Linked DNA regions of Xenopus tropicalis. The protein of the gene in region 1 interacts with the protein of each later gene in a pairwise test. Links are inferred from orthologs where the notes say so. Each region holds a gene or a part of one and is shown on either strand. Other genes may lie near its edges.

Region 1 (4,252 bases):
CTGAAAACTATAGGCCTGTTAGTCTGACATCAGTAGTAGGAAAACTTTTGGAAGGGGTAATAAGGGATAGGGTACTTGAATACATTGCAGTTCACAATACTATTAGTTTGTGCCAGCATGGTTTTATGCGTAACAGATCTTGCCAGACTAATTTAGTCGCCTTTTATGAGGAGATGAGTAAGAACCTCGATGCTGGATCTGGAAAATGAGGTTCAATGTTGATAAGTGCAAAGTTATGCATTTTGGTAGAAATAATATAAACGCGAACTATCTACTGAATGGTAGTGTGTGGAGAAGGATCTAGGGGTTTTTGTAGATAACAAGTTGTCCAATTCCAGGCAGTGTCATTCTGTGGCTACTAAAGCAAATAAAGTGCTGTCTTGTATAAAAAAGGGCATTGACTCAAGGGATGAGAACATAATTTTGCCCGTTTATAGGTCCCTGGTAAGGCCTCACCTTGAGTATGCAGTGCAGTTTTGGGCTCCAGTCCTTAAGAGGGATATTAATGAGCTGGAGAGAGTGCAGAGACGTGCAACTAAACTGGTTAAGGGGATGGAAGATTTAAACTAGGAGGTGAGACTGGCGAGGTTGAGGTTGGTTTCTCTGGAAAAGAGTGCGCTTGCGAGGGGACATGATTACTCTGTACAAGTACATTAGAGGGGATTATAGGCAAATGGGGGATGTTCTTTTTTCCCATAAAAGCAATCAACGCACCAGAGGCCCCCCCTTTAGATTAGAGGAACGGAGCTTCCATTTGAAGCAGCGTAGGTGGTTTTTCACGGTGAGGGCAGTGAGGTTGTGGAATGCCCTTCCTAGAGATGTGGTAATGGCAGATTCTGTTAATGCCTTTAAGAGGGGCCTGGATGAGTTCTTGAACAATCAGAATATCCAAGGCTATTGTGATACTAATATCTACAGTTAGTACTAGTGGTTGTATTTATAGTTTATGTATGCGAGTGTATAGATTGGTAGGTGTGGGTTAGATGTGCTGGGTTTACTCGGATGGGTTGAACTTGATGGACACTGGTCTTTTTTCAACCCTATGTAACTATGTACAGACTAACTCTGGTAATGTTTCATTGCTGCTAGATACACTTTTAAAGGGGACAGATTGTGTTTCTCAGACGGCAGAAAACATCTATGACTACTATAAAAGGGAAACCCTATACAAGCCTTAGATTATATAACGTCGCTTGCATAGAGACACCCCTTTAATTGATAATATAAAAGCAAAATAATTTGCCTCCTTACAAACCTCTTGTCCAGTAAGAAAAAGCAGGAGATCTCCTTCCTCCTCTTCACACATGTGAATCTGAATCACTGTTCGAATGGCTGCCTCTAGGTAATCCCGCTCAGGCTCTGGAGTATAGAAGATTTCTACAGGGTGTGTTCGTCCAGGGATTGTTAAAAGAGGGCAGCTATCAAAATATACCTGGAATTTGCCAGCATCTAAAGTGGCACTCATAACTATAACCTGGGGGAGAAATAAGAAAAAAATATATAACCGACGCAAACAGCAAGTTAACAACATGTTCAACAAAACTTTAAAGGCTATTGACAAACCTATAAAAAAAAAAAAAAAAAAAACTAGGCAATCTTTACAGAATTGTAAGAATAATATTAGGGAAAATAAAATCAGTGAGGTATTTTCTTAAAACTTCACGGAGATACCTTTATTGACCCTGTAAAATTTACTGGCAAAAATATCAAGTGAAACATATTAAAGCCACATGCTTAAATTGATAATAAAGACAAAAGAAAGAATGTGATTAGTTTTCATTAAGCATACAAAATTACAATTTTTTGCAATATTACAGCCAATAGAGGAATACTTTGTTCATATTTAGCATGTCCCAAGACGAGACATTGGAGCACACTGCCCTATAATAGTTTGTTTGTAAAATCACTTCCAATAAGAGACAGATTAATATCTGGTGCTGTCATGGTATCTAAAAAAAAAAAAAACCTAAATAAAATCCTTATACCAAGTCCAAGTCTTAAAAACGTAATTACATTAACAGGGAAAAAGAATAAACCAGCTCTCTATAAATGATCAGCTACACTGAGAAGATTAGACTTCCTCATTCTGAAATACAACTAGGGGGCCTGAAAAGCCATGAAACACCTGAAAGAAAGATCAGACCTATCTGTTAGATAGCCTGATTACAAGAAAACAACACATTTTTGGTTACTGATTTTGGCCACATTGGTCAACTGGATAAACTGCAACAATGACACAGAATTTAAGCGAACTATCTTGCATTATTTACCCCTTTACAGGTGTTCTGTGGGGGATAGTACATTTTGTAGTGGCATTAGCAGAATATTCTCTGGAAATTCCCCATACAGCACGGCAATATAACAGAGGAATCCATTCATTCCCTGCCCTCATCTCACTAAAAAACTAGTCTGTCAAGTTAGCCCTAATCTAATGCATAAACAGGGACTTCTCTGTAGTAATTGTTTACAATCATGCTTGCAGTTTGGCTTCCTACACAACTTTGTATGCTCACAATCTGGATGAATATAGCTAAAGAGAATTGCAGGTGGAGATGCCAGACATTAAGGGCGAGGTTACACAAAATTTATATCCGCTTGTCTTAGCCCTGTGTTTTCTGGCCAGGCTGAGATAAGTGGATCCAATTGCCTACGCTCCTCTGTGTCTGCATTACAAATTATGGAAACTGCCTAAGTGGGCACACAGAATGGGGGTCAACTTGGGAAATGTCAGTTTTCACGTTTTTCAGGCCAATCTCCAATCCACCCCTCTTTTTTGTTTTTTTTGCTTTTAACAGTGGCACACAGAGAAGCGTAGGCAACCAAATCCACTTCTTGTAAAAAAAATGCAGGGAGAGAATCGGCTATCCACTTCTGTGACCTCGCCCTAAACACTAAATTAAATACAATTACATAAAACATATTAGGAAGGAACACTCACCTTTAAGTCATTCCTTTGTCTTACAACTTCCTTTAAAACACCCATTAGAATATCTGTTGCTAAGGTCCTTTCATGAGCTTCGTCAAGAATCACTACCCCATAGCGTTCCAACAATGGATCGTTCATAGCTTCCCGGAGTAACATACCGTCTGTCATGTACCTAAAGGGAAATAAACAGACAAATTAGAAACAAAGTTTTTAAAAAGCACTACAATTCAACTATAAGGCCTATGGCACACAAAACTTTGAGGGCCCTGGACCTGTCAGGTTGCGCAAAAACAATTTCTTTCCAATTACTTAATCTGTTCATTTTTTACTTAACTTACCCCCTATAAACAGGGTATTTTGTTTAAAATGAACTAACCCCTCTTTCCTAACCTGCAGCCTTTGAAATAAAAAGCTGCTCACTAAAAAAAAATTAAAAATTCAGACAACTTACTTCAAGATTGTTTTTGCACTGCTGCAGTCTTCAAACCTAATGGAATAACCAACTTCCTGACCCAACATGACATCCATTTCATCTGCAACTCTTTGAGCCACACTCATGGCAGCCACTCTTCTTGGCTGGGTACATGCAACGCCTCTTTTGGGACCAGGCAATGACCTCATGTAGTCGACACACCACTGTGGAATCTAAATAAATGATAAATGTTAGAGTGGATATGTCCCAGGCACTCACAAGAGAAAGTACATTACAAGAGTTTGATTATACCATCTCAAACATCAACATGTAAGTGTGTGGTGCCTGTTTATACAGAACACAGATTACTTAACAAGCAAAGAGCATTGATTTCCTGGGGAGGTGTCTGGCAATGCAGGAAAGCTGTGGTCCCATCTATAGGTGAGATGCTGGGATACAGTGTCAGAGTGGGCCAGCTGGGAACCATGAGCACCTTGAGGGCCCCACTGACTCAGTCGCACACCCTGGCACTCCTGCCCCACAACGGGTGCAAAAGCAACAAGGCATGCAGAGGGGTGGGCTCCGGAGACCCCCAATCCGACCCTGATAGGATAATATAGGAGAGCATCACAGTATTCACTAAAACTAAAACAATTAACATTTTCCTCTATGTTTTGATGATGGGATCCAGGTCTAATGCTCTTTCTTTCTGCCAACCCTAAAACAATCCCTGTGCCAGTCAGGATTTTGATGCTTGGGGGGCAGAGGAATGATGGTTATATGCTATTTCTATATTAATACAGTAGATGTTAAATCAATAGTTATATTATTTGTACCCTACTTTTATACCAAGTGTTGACTGACCACGCAAAAAACTTCTTGGGTTAACCTCTTCACTACCTTCTGCTATTTGA
Region 2 (4,252 bases), on another chromosome or scaffold:
ACAGGCAGCGTAGGGCAGGCAGAGTATGGCACACACACAGGCAGCGTAGGGCAGGCAGAGTATGGCACACACACAGGCAGCATAGGGCAGGCAGAGTATGGCACACACAGGCAGCGTAGGGCAGGCAGTGTATGGCACACAGGCAGCATAGTGCAGGCAAAACATGGCACACACAGGCAGGGTAGGGCAGACAACATGGCATCCACAGACAGCAAAGGGCAGGAAGAGTTTGGCACACAGGCAGCATAGGGCAGGCAGAGTATGGCACACAGGCAGCTTAGGGAAGGCAGAGTATCATACTGTGCCATACTCTGCCTTCCCTATGCTGCCTGTGGGAGGTGAACCTGGCAGGGGTTTGTTTTGGGAGTTTGTTAGCAGTTGGTAATAGCCATTAAATGGTCACTAAGGTGTGTAATTATGTGCTGGGGGTTTCTGGGCTATCCACAGGGGAGAAGGAGGCATATGGATTTAAGGCTGTGTCTTAATATGACATACTATAATTCTTTCACATATGAATGATGGTTGATATCCCTCCAGTGAGGACCAAGCATTTGGGTTTTTGCTGCGCTACTACCATTTATCACAATGGTAGTAGTTCAGCAAAAACCCAAATGCTTGGTCCTCACATGGGTGTTGTTTGAAGTGGGTGTGGTTTAAAAAGGGGGAGTGGTCAAACTGACTCCCGTTAGCGGCCCTCCACTATGTATGCTAGAGAAATTTGGCCCTCGGCACCACAGAAGTTTGACTGGTGTAAGGAATGAGGTTGTTCAGTAAGAGAATGGGCAGTACCTCTAAACTGTTCATGAACTTGTGGGGAGGTATAGGTCTCAGTCATAGACTGCTGTATGTTTTAGCTCAGACTGTAAGGCCCCAATATAAGCTATAGTATTTCTAGCCAAATAATTTGTTGGGCTTTAATGTTGCTTTAATTCAATTCAGTCTGGTATCTCCAACTTTACCAGATTTACCACCACTAGATGGCGGTTCATTCAAATCTGTGAAAGATGACTGCACGAATCTGTATTAAAGGATCATGTAACTAACACAACAATCTGTGCTTGAATTGTTTGACATCTGTTTAATCAGTTAAGAAAATTTAAACTTGAAACACATATATTTACCATTGTAGGAAGTGTAGGAAATCCCAATGCTGGCACCAATTTAAATCATGGCAGGTGCCAGAACATTGAATGGAAGACCTGTTCACCAGTAAACTGCCCCAGGGATGGAAATGGCTTTTAAAGGAGAACTATACCCCCGGGCGCAAAAAGCTCCCTTAACTATAATTGCTTAGATCCCCCCTCACCTCTCCAATATTGCATAGTTTTAACGTTTCTACTCTGCTCCTATCGCTAACCGCTAGCTAAAAAAACAGATAAGCGCAGCCACGTACTTCACCGACATCTTACTGGTTGAAGACACTTCGGGTCTCTCTGCCAATACGAACTTGCTTGGCCACGCGCAGTTGGAGGTAGCCTGAAATCTGCTTCAACTGTGCATGCGCAAGCAGGCTAGGTGTCAGTGGTAAGACCTGAAGAGTCTTTAGTCAGTAAGAAGATTTCTCTGTATTAAGGGAGAGGTGAGGGGGGTCTAGGTAATGATAGTTAAGGGGGATTTTTGCGCCTGGGGGTATAGTTCTCCTTTAACAATTATGAGTATCCACTCAACTGCTTGGTAAATAAATATTGAATTGAATTAGAGGTTATAGTGCACCATTTATGTTAGGACTGCAACTACTTAAGTGAGCAGTTGTGTGTTGAACTTAAAGTTGCTTTAGTTATTTCCCAACTTGTAGAAAAGTGAGATAACTGCAGTTGACTTATGTGACGACTTGCTTTTTAAAATCACCAATACATGCAACAGGGGCAGTAATCCATGGCAACTAATTGCCAGTTTTTTGCTTTCAGTGTTTTGCCTAAAGCAGGCTGAAAATTGATTGATAACTGCAGTAATGGGTTACTGCACAGGTGCAGTTTTGCCCAATGTTAATAAGTGAGACCAAAGTGTCCTGCAGGGCCTGTATAATGCATAAATTAATGAATCAAATGATGCAAACTTTTAGTTCACAAGTATCTGTGGAACAATATGGGCAAGTTGATTTGCTGCCCATGGGCCAACAGTGAAAACCAAAAGATTTGCCTTCTGCATACAGGCTATCGTATGGATCCTGTGAAGAATTACAAAATGTGTAGCAGCTAAAATGTTGTGCCCCCTATACACACAATTTCTACTGAATTGCTAAAGAGGCAGTAACAGTTTTTAACCTGTCATACAGTTTGTTCTAATTATGTGTTTTTGATCTAGCTATTGTGCCTGCTTATGATGACGAGCCAAGGCCACGACCACCAATGGCAAAGGCTGCAATTCCACCACCTATGTATGATGAGCCAGAGAGACCAAGATCACCAACTGGGCCTAGCAATTCTTTCCTTGCAAATATGGGGTATGGAATATGGTTTTCTGTGTAAAAGAGTAGCTTACAATATTGTATACATTTATAAATAGTTTTGAAACTCTGACTGATAATTATACACAGTCCTATTAATTTTATTATCCTCAGACATGATCCAGTATCCCAACTGATTTCTCTTTTTCTTTTAAATGTAGCATTGAAAGACAATGCCTTACCTCATATATGATTGGCTAAACATACAGTACTTGCTTTTGGATGTATTGAATTAAGATGTATGCTGCTGATTCAACCTCTCTTGCACAAAATCACAGCCAATTATCCTGCGTGGGGGACCAAAACGATCTTTCTGGTCCAATATTTTTCAGTGATTATCAGATAACTGGACAGAGGAAAATCTGGTTGTCCCCAACTACATCGGGCTGTATATACTCTATATTCAGCCACACCGCACAACCACTTACATAATCCGCATATTGAACTGGCGACCAGACACTTAGATTGGGCTAATTTGTAAATCAATAAATGTTTGATCTTATGGAGTATAGTGATGCTAACTCAACAGTGTCCTCCAGTGCCTAATGTATTATCAAATGTGGCAGAATGCTTGTCTGGCTTTGTATGATATTTTTTGTACTAAACATCTCTCAGACATGGGACTGCTATTGTTTTACAATAGAAACAAAACGCATCTCACCTGTCCCTGTCCGGTGTTCCATAGGCACATCTCTAGGGTAATTACTGACAGGCAGATAGTGGTGTCTTTGCACTGGTTTCCACCTGAAACTTCACTGTGACGATCGAAAACTCATTCTGTGTGATTAGCCTAGATATTTTCTTTATGAAAATCCTTAGGGATAATTAAAAATTAAGGTGCAGTGGCATATTAGGTAACTTTTCTGAAAGTATGTATAAAACTGAAATGGGCAAAATTCCATGTATATATGGTGACTGTGCTACTCCCTTGCTCATCACTTTATATGGGTTCATATTTACTTACAGCTACTGTAGGGGGCAAAAATAAGCTGAGGTTTTGTGTACTTTGTTTCTGTTTTTAAAGTGGTACTGTGGCCCACAAAATCATGCAGAAGTATGGCTTTCGGGAAGGACAGGGCCTTGGCAAGCACGAGCAGGGTCTCAGCACTGCACTTTCTGTTGAAAAGACAAGCAAGAGGGGAGGCAAAATTATTATTGGTGACTTAGCTGACAAAGGTTTGTTGTTTTGAGTAACAATTTTCAGATACTAATATATAAAGTGTGTGTATGGATATGTGGATATAACTTATGTAGTGCATATAAATAAATATTTTTGTTTTTTTCCCAAGTTTTTTTTTTTTTTTAACATGGGTGTGTGTGTGTATGTATGTATGTATGTATATGTGTATGTATATATATATATATATATATATATATATATATATATATATATATATATATATATATATACACAAAGTCAAGAGTTTCACAATAACGCCTAATAGTGCAGATTCCTTGCTTCATTGGTGATTTTTTTCATTTAAAGTGTTTTAAATAGAAATTTAATCTCTTACAGTTGAAGCAGCTAAGAAAGCAGATCCAAACCCTCTGACAGAAATACTAAAGAATCCTACTAAAGTTGTTTTGCTTCAGGTAAGAAGGGCAGCAGCCCAAGGTTTATCGGCCAAAAATATGTTCATAGGGAGACTTTTTTATAATTGTAATTTGCGCTTTTTCTGCTATTGGAAAACACTCAATTTTTGTTGTCAAAAGCTCATTCTGCTGATTTCTACTTCTAGAACATGGTAGGTGCTGGGGAAGTTGATGAAGATCTGGAAGCTGAAACAAAGGAAGAGTGTGAAAAAT
Region 3 (4,252 bases), on another chromosome or scaffold:
CTGTGACACAAGGGGAGATTAGTCGCGCCGTGACAATTCTCCCTTGTCGCTGGCGACTTATCTCCCAGCAATGTCATTGCACCAGCTAGAATGTAAATCGCCGGTGGGATGGCATACGTGGTACCGCGATTTGACAAAGTTTCCTCTTAAGGCAGCTTTGGCAAATCGCAGCCATTTACATTCTAGCTGGGGAGATTAGTCACGACACAACAAATCTCCCTTGTCGCGGGCGACTAATCTCCCCATGTGTCCCAGCCCTTAGGTCTCATAAAGTGATTGCAATAGCTGGGGTTGATTAACATTGGCACTTTCCAGTGATTAGATCTTAAAAGTAATTATCACAAAAGAGTTCATATAACTAGGTTAGGAAAATCCATTTGGGGGATCCAAGAGATTATTTGGGATAGTGAAGACTTTATGTAGCAATGTATTCCTATGACTGGTATAAGTAAAGTTGGAAGCTGCTCATATTCAATGAAGGGGTTGTACCAGAGAGTCAGAAAACCATGGCTGTAATAGGATTCATAACAAACTAATGCGCTTGAGCGATAAACAGGAATGCAGGGCTTAAGCTGGCCATACATTATAAGATCTGCTTGTGGGTTGTTTTGTGTATCACCGCCCTCTTTGCAGCTTGTTTGATGAGAATCCCCAGGACTATTCTTGTGCAAAGAAACCTGTTTAGACTCACAGCCATTGTAACCATAGTCTTCTGCTGCTCATTTGGGCTTGTACTAGGGCCAGGATAATGCAGTCGCTACAGTTTTGACAGGTTTGTCATTTTGTTGTTAGAGCTAATGCTGAAAATATTTGCTTTTTAAATGCTGCAAAATGTCTGGAATCGTACCATTGCTCGCACTCTATCGCCTCAGTGATTCACTAAAAAAAATTTTGTCCTACCATTTGTCATTGACAGCTGTTTAACGTGACATATCTTTGTGATGGCCAAACCCAAAGGGTTTTTTATTACAAAGTGGGCAGTGACTATAGTGTATAGGTGGCCAAAATGGGCAGATTCAGCAGCTTATCTGCTGTGTATGGACCCCCGACGGATATAAGGGGGGTCCATCTATGCTCTGATGGTCATTGTTAGGTAGACAAATCAGAAGGAAGATCAATCTCGCCAAGCAAATGAATCCTTAACATGTATGGTCTCCTTAACTTGTTGATTACTCTGATAACCCCTTTGAGAGCTGCCTGCACTACTTGTATTGGTTAGTGACATGTATCATGTTGTGACAAATTGGACCAAAGTTTTTATTCTGAGAGGCAAGGAACTTTGTATGGGTGTCTAAAAATTAGGGACCATTAGTCCATACTTGTGACTTCATTTGACTGCATGTTTGTTTTAATTATTTGTTAAAACTTCATCTATAAATAAAATATATATTTGAGTAGATACACATTGGCATGCTTGTGTTACAGTACTAAGATAGGGACAGAAGGGGACATATTGAGTTGGTCACGTGGAAGCTTCATAGAGCCAGAATCCATGGAAATTAGCTTCCTTTTATGTAATATTTTGCAATTTAAAGCCCATGTCTGTAAGTATAGATTTATTAATTTTGTAGTACATGTCCCTTAATTCCAGTCTTGTTAGGGAGCAGGATTTAAGCTCAAGGTTAGTTTTGTGTAGACCCAGCAATTTTTTTTTTTTTAACGTGCGCTAAAGGGTTGGGGGATATAGCGACTGCAGCAATGTTTAGTGCTCTATCATCCAGAGAAAGGAAGTGGAATCTTGCTGAACAGGAAGCTTTGTGAACACCTCTAATGGGGGGGAAACCATTTTTGCATGATAGGTGCCTTTAAGTCCTGCCATCTGATTGGTAAGCCAGTGTGCTTCCACACAAACTAAGGGCCTGTGTATGGCTACTATTCCCTTTATAACTGTAATTGTTAAGCAAACTGAAGAACAAGAGAGTTTAAGGTATTTGCATTTGTAAACCTTATTTTGTACATGTAAATTTGAAAAGATCCTTTGGCATTTATTAGGAGGTACATTTTATAAAAAAGTTCTCTTTAAAAGTCTGTAACTGCTGAAACGCCTGGTGAATGGTGTACAAGTATACACTCCGCCTTGCCTTTTACTGATTACGATAAACTATTCCACTGCTGACATCAATGTGTTTCTGTCCCTCCCCCCGATACAGACTTTATCACAGCCACCGCTTGCTGATCTAAAAGTGTGAGCCATGGGATCAGATAAACGGTAAGACTTGAAATTTTATTTATATCTTGTATAGCAACATAATTTATGCAGTGCTTTTTCCGTTAAACTGTCTTTAGATGATGAGCATTATTAAAATCAAATTTTACAGTGTGAGTCGCAGTGAGCGGAGTGGAAGATATGGTTCAGCATTTGATCGAGATGATCGCGATGATAGAGACACTAGGAGCCGTCGCAGAGATTCTGAATACAAAAGATACAGAGATGAACGCAGCAGCGAACGCTACGATGACTACAGAGATTATGACAGTCCCGAGGTGAGTACGCTCTATGAGGATTTTAAAATTATTAAACATGTCAAGTTTACACTGAGCCCATATTAAAATCATTGCAGATAAACAAAATTGATTGTAGCTTATAAAAGCAAATCCCATTCTTTTATGGCTAATTATTGTAAGGTCTGTTTTGTTAGCTGAGAAATGCCTTAGGGCTTATCAAAGAATATACCATGGGGTGCATTTATTAACACTGGAGACATCCATCAATGATGATGTTACCCATAGCAATGAATCAGATCTTTGCTATTGTTTTAGGTGACCATTAAAATGTAAATGCTGATTGGTTGCTATGAGCAACATCACCTGTCATGTTTGTCTTCGATGTTAATAAAGTACTCCCCCATGTTTAGCTTTTATACTGATTTTGGTAACAAGTAGCATGATTGTAGATTTTTTTTTTTTTTTTTTTAGTACAGCAGTGTTACATTAATGTCACTATGTGACATGAGTACTTGGAATAGTATATAATACTAGTTTACTTTATTCAAAACACAAGTTGCCTCATTTTAATTACACAGTAGGTTGTGTAGGTAGTCCTGTGTTTCATTCAGATTCTATAACTCTGTGATGTTTTATTTCTGATGTCTCTCGTTTTTGTAACTGTTTTAGCGTGATAGAATGCGTGACAGAGAGAGGAGGAACAGTGATCGTTCAGAAGATGGTTATCATTCAGATGGTGACTATATGGACCATGACTACCGGCAGGACTATTACATGGATGAAAAAGAGAGCAAGACGATCATGCTAAGGGGCCTCCCCATTAATATTAATGAGAACGACGTGAGTTATGCATGCAGTTTTTCCCACTATAGTTCTTTCAAAACATTTAGCTAAAGTGAGGCTTATGATTGGTCTGCAGAATGGAGTAGGTTGGCTTTACTTGTCATTTTAATATATTGCAGCTTACAAACATTGCATATTTGTCTAGGCCACCGTTACATGTAAAGAGCTTGTCAGTGACTGAAAAAAAAAAAACTGAAGAGGACCCACATAGAAAAGCAGTACATGTAGCTTTACCTAGCAGTCTAACAAATTTACACTTCAGATTGGAAAGCTAGAAAGAATTCAAAGCTTATAAGCCTTTTGGTGAAGTGTGTAGTAGGGGGAACATAACAATTTAAAGCATGTTCAAACAGGCATTGTTTCCCCACTTAATGATTTTGTGCATTTTAGATTCGTGAACTAGTGGAGTCTTTTGAAGGACCGCAGCCTGCTGATGTGCGGCTGATGAAGAGAAAGACAGGTGAGGTTCTATCTGGCGTGAGGCTTTGGACTGTTGCTCTTTCTGAAATCCACTACTTTTACACTGCTCTCCCCTTTGGTGATAAGGCCCCTGCTCATCCCACATTCAAAATCAGGCTTTTATCAACCTTTTATGGCTAAGGAACCTCTTAGTTTGAAATTTTGTGATTTTGTTTTATGTGTAGCATATTGTTAAATGAAGACTTTGGTAAGTAGAACTGTAGGCTTTTACTGTTGCACGGGTGGTTTTACCACTCCTTCCTGAATACAACTGATGGACTTGGAGTCTTCAGTACCTGTAACACATGTGGGGTGCAGCCTCTTGGTAAGCACTGTACACGTGACAAAATTATAGGATCGTGGGCATAAATTGCCTGGAGGTTCCTTTTTTTGTTTTTATGGCAAGCCCTGTATAGACAGGTAGGAGGACTACACCCATGGAAGCCATGCCATAAAGCACTGCTAGAACCATGGGCTTTGTCAGTTGGAGAGATGCAGCTGTGTT

The links. The genes of interacting proteins can lie anywhere in the genome.
Region 2: the proteins of dhx15 (region 1) and rbm17 interact in binary tests that used the Homo sapiens proteins (3 or more experiments, as listed by UniProt). The link is inferred for Xenopus tropicalis from reciprocal best matches to the Homo sapiens genes DHX15 and RBM17.
Region 3: the proteins of dhx15 (region 1) and rbm5 interact in binary tests that used the Homo sapiens proteins (3 or more experiments, as listed by UniProt). The link is inferred for Xenopus tropicalis from reciprocal best matches to the Homo sapiens genes DHX15 and RBM5.

The regions. Positions count from the first base shown.
Region 1 is NC_030677.2:31,426,015-31,430,266, forward strand, and holds part of dhx15 (pre-mRNA-splicing factor ATP-dependent RNA helicase DHX15), read right to left. Parts: intron 3,572-4,252; coding exon 3,378-3,571; intron 3,099-3,377; coding exon 2,939-3,098; intron 1,475-2,938; coding exon 1,256-1,474; intron 1-1,255.
Region 2 is NC_030679.2:84,305,291-84,309,542, reverse strand, and holds part of rbm17 (splicing factor 45), read left to right. Parts: intron 1-2,304; coding exon 2,305-2,443; intron 2,444-3,470; coding exon 3,471-3,622; intron 3,623-3,962; coding exon 3,963-4,039; intron 4,040-4,185; coding exon 4,186-4,252. UniProt on the Homo sapiens protein: Splice factor that binds to the single-stranded 3'AG at the exon/intron border and promotes its utilization in the second catalytic step. Involved in the regulation of alternative splicing and the utilization of cryptic splice sites.
Region 3 is NC_030680.2:126,299,430-126,303,681, reverse strand, and holds part of rbm5 (RNA-binding protein 5), read left to right. Parts: intron 1-2,150; 5' UTR 2,151-2,192; coding exon 2,193-2,209; intron 2,210-2,318; coding exon 2,319-2,484; intron 2,485-3,114; coding exon 3,115-3,285; intron 3,286-3,678; coding exon 3,679-3,748; intron 3,749-4,252. UniProt on the Homo sapiens protein: Component of the spliceosome A complex. Binds to ssRNA containing the consensus sequence 5'-AGGUAA-3'. Regulates alternative splicing of a number of mRNAs.